Ovis aries: one gene and its partner. The main gene of each other region encodes a partner of the protein of the gene in region 2 in a complex. Links are inferred from orthologs where the notes say so. Each region holds a gene or a part of one and is shown on either strand. Other genes may lie near its edges. The genes, in order: SENP2 and RANGAP1.

Region 1 (7,197 bases), on a different chromosome or scaffold from region 2:
TTGGAAATTTTAACTTTGGTTGTGAACTTAAAAATGCTCAGTTTAGTCAGTCAGAATGTTCGTGTTTTTTTCCATTTTGACTAGCCACTGTTGGAAGCAGCAGTATGAACTATTGGTTTTGTCATTTGGCTTTTAATGTGTTGTTTTGGGATGCACTTCAGTATATCATTTAAAATCTTTCATTTTTTAACTTGGGTATTATCATTCTGAGATTTTTCAGTCGAGGTGGCTTTGGGCATTGAAAACATCCAGTTTTATGGTAGAGAAATTGGAGGTTAGGTATCTTCGCTGGAATATTAGAATCAGGATCAGACTCCTTTTATCCTGGTCTCAGATGATACTATATTGTGATCTCTCTCTTGTGAGTTGACCTTTCAGGGTAATCAGTAACTCTTGTCTGGAGAAGTTTGCCAGGTAGAGACAGTGAATACTTACAGTAGATTTTCCTTTTATATCTGATCTTCACTTTTTGTGTTTCTAAGTTCTCAAAGAAGTCAGATGGACACATTAAAGACCAAAGGCTGGGGGGAAGAGCAAAGTCATGGAGTCAGAACAACTCAGTTTGTTCCAAAGCAATGTGAGTTCCCAGATTTAGCCCTGTCTTAATACCCTTAATATGTTGAACTTAGTTCAAAAGCATATAAAATTGAAAAATGGCATACTAGTGAAAGATGGTGTACCAAATTTTAAAACATTGTTAGACCCCAGGCTGTTGACTTACCCAGTACTAGTAATTTAGTAAGAAAGCTATTTCAAGTTAAAGCTGATCTATAAAATAACCTCTTGATTATTCTTCCTAGCTCCTGTATTGTAGCATATATTTTGTGAGCCTAAAATTAGTTTTGTTGTATTCCTATATTAATATCCTTGTTTTTTTCCACTTGCTGTTCACTAAATAACACTAAGTGATAGCTTACTAAGTAAGCAGATGTTAGCCAGTTTACACTAAAGACTATATGTAAAGGAGAAAGAGATTTATGCAACATTTTTTAGCAACTTAATTTGTATAAACACTAATGTTTTTGGAATCCATTTTAGCATTTCAATGTAAATGAGTATCTTCATACTTTGGGGACTGTAAGGTGAAATGCTAGCTATATGATTGATTAACGAAGGAAACACTTTTTTTTTTTTTTTTTTACCATTCTCACAGATAGAGTTGTTGAAACAAGGGGACCTCTGTGTTCAGTGAGAAGTGAAAAGAGGTACACTGTTCGGTTTATTCTAACTTCTCTTTTGACATATTTTCTTTCTTTCTTTTTTTGGCCGCACTGCACGGCTTGTGGGATCTTACTTCCCCACCCAGGTATTGAACCCGTGACCCCTTCAGTGGAAGCGTGGAGTCTTAACCACTGGACTGCAAGGAAAGTCCCTGACATTATTTTCTTACTTTATAAACTGTATTTAAGAGTAACTACATCTGTGAAACTGTGACCTCTTCTCAGCTCTGGCAGTTAGTCAGCATATGTGGGTATATAAGTAGCTCTTGTGTAAGATGCCCACCCTAGCTTGGGACGGTGCCCTTCTCTCCTAGACATTAGGCGTTGGGAGGCATCAGTGAGTGCTGCTGAGATAAGACTATGAGTGTGGTGGATAGTTCTAGTGATTAGCATCTCAAGTATATGAACAGTGAAGGCAGTTCTATGTGCCTTAGGATTTTAGATGCTGGTCCATTTATAGCAGACTGTGGTAAACTGTGGCCCATGGACCAAATCTGGTCTACCTGTTTGTAAGTACATTTTTATTGGACACAGTCATGCTCATTCATTTACATGCTGCTTAGGGCTGATTGAAAACAAAGTTGAGATGATATGACAGAAACCATAAGACCTGAAAAGCCTAAGATATTTATGAGCTGATCCTTTTTGGAAAAATTTTGCTAACTTTTGGTTTAGAGGACTATATAAACTCACGGCAATATTTGTTACTAATTATTAAATCTTATTTCTAAAACTAGTTTAACATGTACCAGATTAAAATCATCCAGTCTGTAATTTCTCAGTTTTTTTCCTCAGGTGTTCAAAGGGGAAAATTTCTGATACAGAAAAGACAGTTGGAATCAGACTAGAAAATGAATGTGTAAGTAGAAACCTTAGTTAAATTTTATGCCTTTGCTTCTTTCACGTGACTTACATTAAAATTTTGGTGCCCATGAAAAATAAGAAAGATAATATTTGTTACTTTAATTTCTAATTCCATTATTTTTCTTGAAAAAGCAACAAGCATTGAAGATACACACCTTTGGCTTTCTTCTAAGTTGCCAGATTTTTATCTCTGCAGTAGCCACCTTTGTGAGAGAGACCAACTTGGCTCCATCTTAGCCCTTATCTGTGTTGCCTGGCTTCTTTCAGAGATTCTTTTTTACATCTTTGTGCTGTGTTCATGAAGTTGCTTCAGTCATGTCCCCGCCTCTTTGCGACCCCATGGACTGTAGCCCTCCAGGCTCCTCTGTTCATGGGATTCTCCAGGCAGGAATACTGGAGTGGGTTGTCATGCCCTCCTCCAGGGGATCTTCTGGACTCAGGGACTGAATCTGCGTCTCTTATGTCTCCTGCATGGCAGGCGAGTTCTTTATCAGTAACGCCACCTGGGAGGGAAGCCCATTTAGGAAAATATTTGTTCAGGACTTTTCAGATTCAAGATTTCATATTTACTTGAAACTATTACAAATCTTACAAATGTTGAGTTTTAAGGCAGCTTTTTCACTCTGCTCTTTCACCTTCATCAAGAGGCTCTTTAGTTCCTCCTCACTTTCTGCCATAAGGGTGATGTCACCTGCATAACTGAGGTTATTGGTATTTCTCCCTGTAAAAACTTGATTCCAGCTTCTGCTTCATCAAGCCCAGCATTTCACATGTTGTACTCTGCATATAAGTTGAATAAGCAGGGTGACAATATACAGCCTTAACGTATTCCTTTCCCAATTTTGAACCAGTCCACTGTTTTTATACTAAGAACAAGTTTACCTGTAAAAATAGCAGTGGTTTATTTTTATTTTCATTTTGGGTTTTTTTTAATATACAATTTTTATTATTTTTAGCTATGCTCTGTCTTCGTTTGCTGTGTGTTGGCTTTCTCTAGATGCAGTGAGCGGGGCCTACTCTAGTTCTGGTGCTCTGGTATGCAGGCTTCTTATTGTGGTGGCATCTCGTTGCAGAGCAAGGCTCTAGGGTGCTTAGGCTTCAGTAGTTGTGGCTCACAGGCTCTGGAGCATGGGCTCAGTAGTTGTGGCACAGGGGCTTAGCTGCCCTGAGGTATGTGGGATCTTCCTGAACCAGAATTCGAACCCATGTCCCACGCACGCATTGGCAGATGGATTGTTAAAACCACTGGATCACCACGGAAGTCCACCCGTGGTTTATTTTGAGTGATAGGATTAAGGGTCATATATTTTGCTTTTTTAAAGTTTTTCAATATATCTTTTGACTATATTATTTTTAATTGAGATAAGAGAAGTGAAAATAATTTTCTTGCTGCTGCTGCGGCTAAGTCGCTTCAGTTGTATCTGACTCTGTGCGACCCCATAGACAGCAGCTCAGCAGGCTCCTCCGTCCCTGGGATTCTTCATGCAAGAACACTGGAGTGGGTTGCCATTTCCTTCTCCAATGAATGAAAGTGAAAAGTGAAAGTGAAGTTGCTCAGTTGTGTCCCACTCTTTGCGACCCCATGGACTGCAGCCTACCAGGCTCCTCCATCCACGGGATTCTCCAGGCAAGAGTACTGGAGTGGGTGGCCGTTGCCTTCTCCAAATTTTCTTGCTACCTCCTGGGAAAATGATGAATGTTCTGATTCATGATTTATAATTCAGGTGTCTTGTGAACCTTAGGTCTTGAAGTTTTCATTCCCTCTTGTAGGGACAGGCAGATAATGCTTTTTGTACTTTACTCATTTGGGGATGTACTAATTCTCTTTTCTTTCAAAATAATGGTGCTGTTCTATATTTCATGTGTTATATATGTGTATATGTACAAGTATCAAACATGTCAATAGAATATGGGAATTTTTTTAACCAGAGGAGGGGATTTCAGCTGGAACCCGACCTGTCTGAAGAAGTGTCAGCCCGACTCCGCCTGGGCAGTGGAAGCAATGGCTTACTCAGGAGGAAAATGTCAATACTTGAGACAAAAGAAAAAAATTGCTCAAACAAAGAAAGGGATAAAAGGACAGATGATCTTCTTGAACTTACAGAGGTATTGTTTCTTGTGTTAATCAAATAAGAGGCATGTTTTTACATAACCTTAGTTATTCAAGGCTTGAGTGCATGTTTTGTTTTGAGGAGTTTCTCCAGGAAATGTATGTGTGAAGGAAATCAGGCCCAAGGGCAGGTCATTTACTTGCTACACTGATCATTAGTGATCTGTACAAGTGGCCTAAGGGGTTAGATTAATTTCAGCAAATGTGAGTGGACAGAATTTTCACACATCTTGGAATATACTGGATTCTTTGTAGATTCTTTTTCTAAGCTTAAAGTATTTTGAGTTATGTAGTATGAGTTTGACACTATAAAGAGATTTGTTGCAGTTTTTTTGTTTTTGTCTTTTTAACGTTTTATTTTATTTACTTATTTTTGGCCATGCTGCACAGCCTATGGGATACCAGTTCCCCAACCAGGGTTGGAACTGAGACTCTGGTAGTGAAAGTGCTGGACTGCCAGGGAACTCCCCTTCATTGCAATGTTTGTTAAGTGATTATGGTTCTCTAAAATGCCCCTTTCATTGATCATTGTACAGCAAATAAGTAGAAGCTTATAGAAAACAAGGAAATGAAGGTTAACTTAAAAATTCTCATTTTAAAAGTGAGCCCACATTTTGACTCCTCCATTATTGTCTTAGCCGATGTCCTATTCGGTGATTATCTATTGAGCACTTATTATGTATTGGGCATGCAGGTGGAGAGAAAGATCCATAAAGTTGCAAAATTGTGTATAGTGGTAGAGGAAGCAGAAGTGAAAATATTTGGATGAAAGTTTCTAGTTGGTTTGTAGATTCAGGCTTATAGCATAAATTTATGTTTATCTGTGTAATTCTTTAGAAAAATGATGCCATCTATTTAGTAAGGACTCAGTTGCTAGACTGCTGCCTAGTTTTCTAGTTTCTGCTTATTCTCTTCACATCAGAAATGGATAGAATGATCTCTTTGATGCCCTAATTTTATTACTTTGATTTTTTAAAATCAAGGTTCAGGAGACAGTTGAGGAAAGTATGAAAATGCTTTTATAGTGTTGTGAAACGAGAAGAAAGTTCAGGAGTTAGACACTTCTGGATTCAAATCTTGGCTCTGTTTTTTAATCATCATATGACTCTGCATGTAACCAAAATTCTCTGAGGTTTACCTCTTCTATAAAATGGTGACAGTACTTTCCCCACAGATAGGGATTAACGAAGCACTTCAAGCATCTGGTACGTGTTTGGCTCATAGTGCTCAATAAATGGTAGTAGGATAATTGAGACTATACTTCAAACACTTTTACCCAATAACTTTTTCTAGCAGCTAGTAATTGGGCTGGCATTTCTTATAACTGTTAGTAAGACTGCTTTGTGGTCCTGAATTAAAATCTTTTTGTCTTTTGATTTAGTAGGTCTTTGATAGTTTTTCTTAAGGGTCAAGTATTATAGGGATGAAAAGCTTTTTTCAATCTCAGACTTTCAGTATCTGATAATGGTTCTTTATTAAAGTAACAACCTCTGGACTTTATAATTCAGGACATGGAAAAGGAAATCAGTAATGCTCTAGGCCATGGCCCACAGGATGAGATCCTAAGTAGTGCTTTCAAATTACGAATCACTCGAGGAGACATCCAGACCTTGAGGAACTATCACTGGCTCAATGATGAAGTAAGTTGTCTTTTTTTTTTTTTACCCCTTGGACTACCATTATGGTTAACTCTTTTCTACCTGTAATATCGTGGTTTCTACACAGGAGGGACTGCTAAGGTAGCTTTAGTTTACCTAAAACAAAAACATCTTAAACCTTGAAAAGATAGTTAATTCTGACTGTTTGCTGCCTTTAATTAGCGATGTTTCCCTCTTCTGCCTCTGCTTTGTTTTGTCTACATCTTCATTTATTAGTGACATTTTTATGAACCCTGGGTGCAACTGATAAATGGAAGGAAGCAGACAAGTGGTCATTTATTTTAGATGAATTCTTACAGGAGCCATTTTATTTTTTTCAATAATAAATATTTTGATCACTCTATATGCACTATGTGTTTATTTAATTTGAGTGATAAGTATAAACATTTGCCTAATGGCCTTGTCTCCTTACGTCTTCCGCTAAAGCTTAGTTCTTGCCAGTTTTCTGGTTGATCCTTTACCCAGCCAGCCATGCAGCCCCCTGCATTTTTTTCCCTTTGCTTTCCTTCCCTCTTGTCATGACTCATGGCATATAAACACATTCTTATAAAATTAGAACATTTCTGTTTCATATTACAAATACAATGTTTATTATAAAAATTTAGAAAATAAGGAAAAGTGAAGGAACAATATTATCATTCAAAAGTGGCACAGCTCTCTTGTAATAATCTATAATGGAAAAGAATCTGAAAAAGAATATATGTATGTAGAACAGAATCACTTTGCTGTACATCTGAAACATTATAAATCAACTATATTTCAATTAAAATGATTAAAATTATATATTTCTATGAAAACAAAAAAATGGCACAACTCAAAAGCAAACAAAATAACTATTGTTTTGGTGTATTTCCTTCCAGTGAGTTTTTAAAAATTGAGGTATAATTTATGTAAAATTCACTTTCAGTTAATATTTCCACATGTTTTATGTGTGGTGTAGTTACATACACCTTGTAGTTGTTGCAGAATTTCTCCTTGAGTTCTTTCTCATGGCTCTCTTATTCATATGCCTCAGAAGTACAGTCTCATTCCTTCTAAATCCCTCCCATTTTGCACTGATCATTTTTTACTTTCCATCTTCTGTCGTAGATAACCCTTTTATCTTCTGTCCCTTCCCTTAGTTTCTTATTTCTAATTCATCCTACTCAAGTAGAAATTGAGTTTTGATAATATACTTGGCATATTCCAATGTTTACTCTCTTGGTGTTACAGGTCATTAATTTTTACATGAATCTCCTGGTGGAAAGAAATAAAAGGCAAGGGTATCCAGCACTTTATGCATTCAGTACTTTCTTCTATCCGAAATTAAAGTCTGGGGGTTACCAAGCGGTGAAAAGATGGACCA
Region 2 (7,659 bases):
CTAGAAGAGGGAGGCTTAGGGTCACCCTAAGGAAAATTCAGACTGATTTGGTCAGTCCTAGCCAGAATCAGCTCAGGAATAACATCAGGCCTAGTTGGAAGCTTCTCAGCCTTTTCAGATGATGATCCATTTTAAGGAAACATCCTGTGACCCTGACTGAAATCCAGTTCAAATGAGGAAACCTGTGGGCTGGAAGAAGCACAAGCTGGAATCAAGATTGCTGGGAGAAATATCAATAACCTCAGATATGTAGATGACACCACCCTTATGGCAGAAAGTGAAGAAAAACTAAAGAGCCTCTTGATGAAAGTGAAAGAGGAGAGTGAAAAAGTTGACTTAAAGCTCAACATTCAGAAAACGAAGATCATGGCATCTGGTCCCATCACTTCACAGCAAATAGATGGGGAAACAGTGGCTGACTTTATTTTGGGGGGCTCTAAAATCACTGCAGATGGTGATTGCAGCCATGAAATTAAAAGACCCTTGCTCCTTGGAAGAAAAGTTATGACCAACCACGACAGCATATTAAAAAGCAGAGACATTACTTTGCCAACAAAGGTCCATCTAGTCAAGGCTATGGTTTTCCAGTGGTCATGTATGGACGTGAGAGTTGGACTACAAAGAAAGCTGAGCACTGAAGAATCGATGCTTTTGAACTGTGGTGTTAGAGAAGACTCTTGAGAGTCCCTTGGACTGCAAGGAGATCCAACCAGTCCATCCTAAAGGAGATGAATCCTGGGTGTTCATTGGAAGGACTGATGTTGAAGCTGAAACTCCAATACTTTGGCCACCTGATGCGAAGAACTGACTCGTTGGAAAAGACCCTGATGCTGGGAAAGATTGAGGGCAGGAGGAGAAGGGGACGACAGAGGATGAGATGGTTGGATGGCATCACCGACTCAATGGACATGAGTTTGGGTAAACTTCAGGAGTTGGTGATGGACAGGGAGGACTGGTGTGCTGTGGTTCATGGGGGTAGCAAAGAATCGGACACAACTGAGCAACTGAACTGAACAGAACTGAGGTACCTATGACAGGCCAGGACCCCAGAGAATGTTGCCCAGATAGAAAGAGTACCTGCCTAGAGGCTCTTCAGGTGAAGGAGGAAGCTGCCAAGTAGAATGTTAACTCTGTGAAGAAGCTCTCAGACCCACTGCTGTGGGGTCTGAAGCTTGCTGGGGGGCCCACAGGAAGCAGATTCATTCAGGTTGGAGTCACCAGGGCAAGGAAAGCCTCCTGGAGGAGGTGGCATTTAATATGGGCTTTGGCTTCCCTGGCGGCTCAGAGGGTAAAGCGTCTGCCTGCCATGCAGGAGGCCTGGGTTCGATCCCTGGGTCAGGAAGATAAATCCCATGGACAGAGAGGCCTGGTAGACTACAGTCCATGGGATCGCAAAGAGTTAGACACGACTGAGCAACTTCACTTCACTTCACTTTGCAGGCAGAAGAGGAAAGGGAGAATATAGGATCCACAACTCAGTAGTAGTGTGGACTAGAGTCTGGAGCTTCTGTTTTCTCATCTCTGCTGGGAAGGGTAGCAATGATGCCCTTTTCCTTTGTTGTGGTAAAGATTAATTTAGTTGTATGAGGAAGAATCTGGCACATACTACATTTAACTCTGCTCTGCTGCCGCTGCTAAGTCGTTTCAGTCGTGTCCCTCGAGGCTCCCCCGTCCCTGGGGTTCTCCAGGCAAGAACACTGGAGTGGGTTGCCATTTCCTTCTCCAATGCATGAAAGTGAAAAATGAAAGTGAAGTCGCTCAGTCGTGTCCAACTCTTAGCGACCCTGTGGACTGCAGCCTACCAGGCTCCTCCGTCCACGGGATTTTCCAGGCAAGAGTCCTGGAGTGGGGTGTCATTGCCTTGTCATTGCAGGTAAAGCAAAAGCATAAGCGGGTGTGTGGGCCAAGTTGTGAGAGGTAACTTTGGAAGAGAAGTCTGCCTGTGTTGACCGTGCTGATCTCTGGGAACTAGAGTTTCTTGGGTAACATTTACTTTTCTGTTACTATCCTGTTCTATGTTGGTTGAAGTGTTTATAATGAACACCTTATTTATATAATGGTTAAAAAGTTCTTTGTGGAAAAAAAGCTACTTGTATTCTGTTACTTAAAAATTCGAACCTAGAGAAAAGTAGCAAAAATGTTCAAAGAACTCCCACAGACCCTTCACCCAGATTCACTTGTTGACATTTTGCTATACTTGCACTCTCTAGCGTTACATATGAATGCATACATTTTTTAAGCCATTCCAAAGTAGGTTCGGTGAAGGCAATGGCAACCCACTCCAGTACTCTTGCCTGGAAAATCCCGTGGATGGAGGAGCCTGGTAAGCTGCAATTCATGGGATCGCTAAGAGTCGGACACAACTGAGCGACTTCATTTTCACTTTTCACTTCCATGCATTGGAGAAGGAAATGGCAACCCACTCTAGTGTTCTTGCCTGGAGAATCCTAGGGACAGGGGTAACCCCAGTGGGCTGCCGTCTATGGGGTCGCACAGAGTCGGACACGACTGAAGCGACTTAGCAGAGTAGGTTGCAAACATCATGCCTGTAATTATTTCAGCATGTATTTCCCAAGAACAAGGGCAGTCTCTTACATAATCAGGTAGAATTTAAAAGGAACAACAGGTTTAACATGGAAACAATGCTATTATCTTTTTTTTACAACGTTATTATCTAACATACAAATTTTTCTGTCTCAATATTGCCCTTTATTGTGATTCTCTGTACCCCGGCCCCAAGCTCCAGTCCAGGACCACGTGTTGCATTTAATTATCGTGTCTTTTTAGTCATGTTTAATCTGCAGCAGCTCCTTAGCTTTTCTGTCTCACGACACAGACATTTTTGGAAGAGTACAGACACATTATTCCGTAACGTGTTCCTCAGTTGGGTAGGTCCGATGGTTCCTCACGATTAGAGTAATTTTATGCGTTGCGGGGACTGGACGGTGACGCTGTGTCCTTCTCAGCACAGCACTGCGGGAGGTGTGCGATGGATGTCAGCGTCAGTGTAGCGTTAACGTGAACGTTAATGTGGTTAAGGGTGGTGTGGCAGTTTCTTTGCTACAGAGTTACTATTTCCCCCCCGTCCTTTTAATTATCAAGGAATTTGTGGCTATTTTTGGGAAAGTCCTCGAATGTCCTTCCAATTTCATGGGACAAAAAAAAAGCGAGGTTTTCCCTTTAGGAAATGGACACCTCTTAGCTTGCGGAACAGATTGAGCTTCGAGTCTCCGTCAGCACCAGCCTTTGTCAATAAAGTTACGTGAACGTGAACATTTCCGGAAGGGCGGAGCCGGCCCGGCCTCAAGGCATTTAGGGAATTGTAGTCTTCCTGGGAGTTCGCGGTTCAACGCCTCCCAGCGGCCTCCGGGAGAAAGAGCCAGAAGCCGCAAAAGGGAGGGCACAGAGGGACCTAGCGGAGGCGCCGGGACGCCGCGCGGGTATTATGGAAATGGTAGTTCGCGGGCGCGACTCTGCGGCGTCTAGCCGCTCCCCGCGCAGGAGAAGCGGACTACCATACCCGACAGGCCGCGCGCGCGGGGGTAGGGGAAGCCGGGCCGGGCCTCCGACAAATCAAATCGAAGGAAAGAAACTGCCGGCTTTCAAAATCCACCTCCCTCCGCCATCATCCGCCGCCGTGCGGGGAGCAGGTGGTGTCGGAGGTGCGAGCGGAGAGAAGCGGTTGGACAAAGCTGACGGACGTCTACCGGTGGGGCTGAGCATCGGGAGCGCCGGACCGGAGGCGGCGACCCCGATCTGACCTGACCTGACCTGACCCGGACCCTAAATCCGTCCGCGCCCGCCGGACGCACGCGCGCACTCCGGTCGCCCCACGCGGCGGCGCAGCCTGTGTACGGTAGGGTCGGGGATCCCTTTCCTTTCCTTGTCACCTGCCCGGGGATGCAGGCGGGGGTGGCGCGGCGCTGGAACCGGGCGAGGAAGGTGTGGCGCTTTCTGCGTGCCCCCCTCCGTTTTCATCCCCTGTGCCCTCGACCGCCGAGCGCCGAGCCGGGTGGGAGTTGGGGCGCTGTCCCTTTTCCCAAGCGGCGAGGCTGAAGCTTAAGAGAGGGCGTCAGGCCCACCCGGCTCGCCCAGCCGGCAGCGGCGTCCCCTTTTCGCGTCGGTGTCAATCCGAGGGCGGTGAACGTCCGCCTGGGATCCCGGATGGGGCTCTGGTGCGGCCCCGCCTGTCATTGGCGTCCCGAACTCGCGCATCGCTCTCCCGCCGCCGCCTCGCAAGAGGCCCACACCCGCCGAGGACCTGGGCTGGTGCCGCCGCAGCCCCGGGGACCCGCGTGAGTCACTGCCGACGCTGGGCAGGAGTGGTGGATGTGCACGGAGGCAAATGTGCCAGGCTCCTGCTCGGGAGGGAGAGGAGATTTTTGCGTTTACTTCGCCGCTGGCCCTTTGCAGACCTTGGACCAGTCAGTTCATCTCTCTGTGGTCCAGTTGCCTAGACTTTATAGTGGATAGGATGGGTGTGTGTGTGTGTGTGTGTGTGTGTACACGTAGGTACTGGACTTCTCTATGGGGGTGTGTGTGTGTACACGTAGGTACTGGACTTCTCTATGGGTGTGTGTGTGTGTGTGTGTGTGTACACGTAGGTACTGGACTTCTCTATGGGGGTGTGTGTGTGTGTGTTTACGTCTGTACGTTCGTACTGGACTTCTCTTCCAGCTGAGAAGTTCTGTGTTCCTGTTTCATCTGGACGCCTCACCACCGTTTTTCTAGCCTTAAATTGTCCCAAACCAGAATTACAAGGAGTGGGGGGGTGGTGTTGTCAGGCTATTTTATGTTCAGTTTCATCCCCTCGTTCATTCTTGAAGCAGCTTTGAGATTCCCAGCCTCACGCAGCAGATAGAGTGATCCTGTCAGAACATAACTCACATCACAGTCCCTCTTCTGCTAGAAACCCTCCAGTGGCTCCCTTTGTCATTCAGAGTAAAAGCTTTAGTTCTTAAACTGGCCTTTGTGACTGGGGCCTCTTGTTAATTCTCTTTATCTCTTACCTCTTTTCTCCTTCCCTCTCTGTGTTCCAGCCCCACTGGCCTCCTTGCACTTCCTCTGACCCCCACTTCACCCACAAGAGCCTTTGCAAGAATGTTCTTCCCCCAGATATCTGCATGGGTCAGTCCCCAATATCCTTCAAGTCTTTGTTTCTTTCTTGATAATACCTTCTTTAAGACTCTTGAGAGTCCTCTTGGATTGCAAGGAGATCAAACTAGTCAATCCTAAAGGAAATCAGTCCTGAATATTCATTGGAAGGGCTGAAGCTGAAGCCCCAGTACTTTGGCCACCTGATGTGAAGAACTGACTCCTTGGAAAAGACCCCGATGCTGGGAAATATTGAAGGCAGGAGAAGGGAACGACAGAGGACAAGATGGTTGGATGGCGTCACCGACTCAATGGACATGAGTTTGAGCAAGCTGCAGGAGACGGTGAAGGACAGGGAACCCTGGTGTGCTCCAGTCCATGGGGTTGCAAACAGTTGGACACGACTAAACGACTGAACAACCACCACCACTCTTATTTTAGATTAAATCCATTCCCCCCTCCCAAGAGAAAAAGGAAAACAGCAAAGTTTCTTACCCCTTTTCCTGTTTTTTTTTTTTTTTTTCTTATCACTGCCTGAGACACTAAATAACCTTGTTCTTCCTGATCACCCATTCCTCTTTGGGGAAATGTAGTGATCCTTTCTGCCAGTCTGCTGAACTGCAGGCTGGAAGCTCCTTTTTCTCAACAACTCTGTCCTCAGTCTATTGTGATGGTGGCTATTGTGATGTAGAGACCTCTGGTCGCCTAGGAACCCCTGAGGTCTGGCCGCCATGGGCTGCCCAGTCTCCTGGCCACGGTTGAAACCAGCTGTGCAGTAGGCTGTGCCCTGTGCCCCATCCCCAGAGTCATGCCAGTGAGGGCAGTGGGGCATTCTTTGGGATGGATAACCTGGATCCCATAGCCATCCATGTCCTGTTTGAGGAATGGGACCCTCAAACAGAGAGCGCCCAACATGATCAGGCAGGTGTGTGCTCTGGGGAGACTCTTCATAGCCGTCAGACTGGGACTTGACTGCCGTTCCCTGGGGACCCAGTGGTCAACTCACATGGCTCTGCTTGGTACCCTGCCTGGGGCAGTTGGGCAGAGGAGGGCCTGTAGTGGGACAGTAACTCTGCAGAGGTTGAAACCTTTGCCCTTTTAGAACTCTTTCTTGCTCAGTGTTGTTTTTATTTCTCCCAGTGGTTTAGCGCTTGGGATTTCCTTATCCTGGGGGGTGGGATCAGGCAGCTGAAATGGTCCTCCCCGGCCCTCCCCAACCTGGAGATGCCCAGAGATCCTCTCTCTTAATGCACTTTGACCTCTTCAGTCTGCAGATTTCCAGGGGAGCCCACCAACGCAGCCACCATGGCCTCTGAAGATATTGCCAAGCTAGCAGAGACGCTTGCCAAGACCCAGGTGGCCGGGGGACAGCTGAGTTTCAAGGGCAAGAGCCTCAAACTCAACACTGCGGATGATGGTGAGTCTCCGTGTGGACTGGCTCTGGAGGGACAGGGAACAAGCGAGAGAGCGCCTCCTCGTCCCACTTGTCAGGCCCGGTTAGCTTCATGATCACACTCGTCCTAGCCCAGTGAGGCTTGAAGATGTTTTGTCCACGAGCACGTGGTGGGCATCCCTGCCGGTGGCTTCAGGCCGGCAGATGGGAAGGGCCTTTTTGGGGGAATGGTCGGCAGTGAGGGACCATGGTGAGCTGCAGTCTCAGGATCCAGCCCTGATTTCTTACTTTAGATCCACCCCTACATTCACCGCATGATCCAGAGCTGGTCTGGGAATAGTCATTGCCTTCCTGAGAGCGGGAAGGTTCTGAGCACTGCACCCCCGAGAGCAGTGAGGCTGCATGAAAGGACAATCCAGGGGTTTCCCTGGCAGTCCAGTGGTTAAGACTCTGCACTTCCACTGCAGGGGCCATAGGTTCAATCCCTGGTCAGGGAACTAAGATCCCACATGCTGTGCAGTGCAGGCCAAAAAAAAGAGAGAGACACTGGGCCTTCTTGGGAGTCTAGTCCATGCAGTGAATGCCCCTGGGGGAGGGATGGATGTGCCTCTCTGTGAACAGGCATCCGGGCCGGACAGACCTAGAAGCAGAATGCAGACCCTGTCTGCTTCCGTGGCCCGAGTATGGCTGGCACGGATCCACCCCGAATCCCAGGCATCTGGAAGTGAAGGCGCCTGCGTTGGGGCCTCTTGAGGTTCCGGCCCAACCAGAGAAACTGGTCTGGACTTGCCTGGTTGTCCTGGTGTATAGGCAGGCTGGCTCCCATCCTCCAGGTCAGAGACCGCTTGAGTCCTTGCACATTCCTAACATCTCTGTAGGGCCTTAACCTTTAGAGTTCCTCCCTGTGCTTTATCACTTTTGATCCTTACATCATCCCTGGGGAAGGGAGGTAAACATGTTGCCATTTAATGAGTAAAGAGTAAAGAACTCGGGAGTCTTCAGTAACTTACTGAAGCTGCTGTAGCCCTGAATAGCAGAGCCAGGATTCCGTCAGAGGTACAGCAGAGTCCCTGGTCTGACGTGTCTCAGTGTACATTCAGCCCAGCTCAGTAAACGTGAATTTGCTATTAAATGCTGGTCATTAACACTGGGTCAGGTAGTCTTCAGTGCTG

Evidence for each region.
Region 1: the proteins of RANGAP1 (region 2) and SENP2 are in contact, whole or in part, in a crystal structure (PDB 2IO3), measured with the Homo sapiens proteins. The link is inferred for Ovis aries from reciprocal best matches to the Homo sapiens genes RANGAP1 and SENP2. Residues at the interface, in NP_001265580.1 of Homo sapiens: Glu467, Asn508, Thr511, Thr514, Arg515, Val518, His519, Leu523, Lys524, Ser525, Glu526, Asp527, Val529; in NP_067640.2 of Homo sapiens: Tyr408, His409, Trp410, Val477, His478, Asp495, Met497, Gly498, Gln499, Lys500, Pro536, His537, Gln541, Gln542, Asn544, Gly545.

What each region holds. Positions count from the first base shown.
Region 1 is NC_056054.1:202,374,857-202,382,053, reverse strand, and holds part of SENP2 (sentrin-specific protease 2), read left to right. Parts: intron 1-482; coding exon 483-577; intron 578-1,153; coding exon of another isoform or gene 1,154-1,205; intron 1,206-1,306; coding exon 1,307-1,365; intron 1,366-2,015; coding exon of another isoform or gene 2,016-2,016; coding exon 2,017-2,079; intron 2,080-4,013; coding exon 4,014-4,190; intron 4,191-5,702; coding exon 5,703-5,834; intron 5,835-7,064; coding exon 7,065-7,197. UniProt on the Homo sapiens protein: Protease that catalyzes two essential functions in the SUMO pathway.
Region 2 is NC_056056.1:218,248,164-218,255,822, reverse strand, and holds the start of RANGAP1 (ran GTPase-activating protein 1), read left to right. Parts: upstream 1-3,597; 5' UTR 3,598-3,856; exon of another isoform or gene 3,857-4,295; intron 4,296-6,361; 5' UTR 6,362-6,399; coding exon 6,400-6,511; intron 6,512-6,911; exon of another isoform or gene 6,912-6,984; intron 6,985-7,659. UniProt on the Homo sapiens protein: GTPase activator for RAN. Converts cytoplasmic GTP-bound RAN to GDP-bound RAN, which is essential for RAN-mediated nuclear import and export. Mediates dissociation of cargo from nuclear export complexes containing XPO1, RAN and RANBP2 after nuclear export.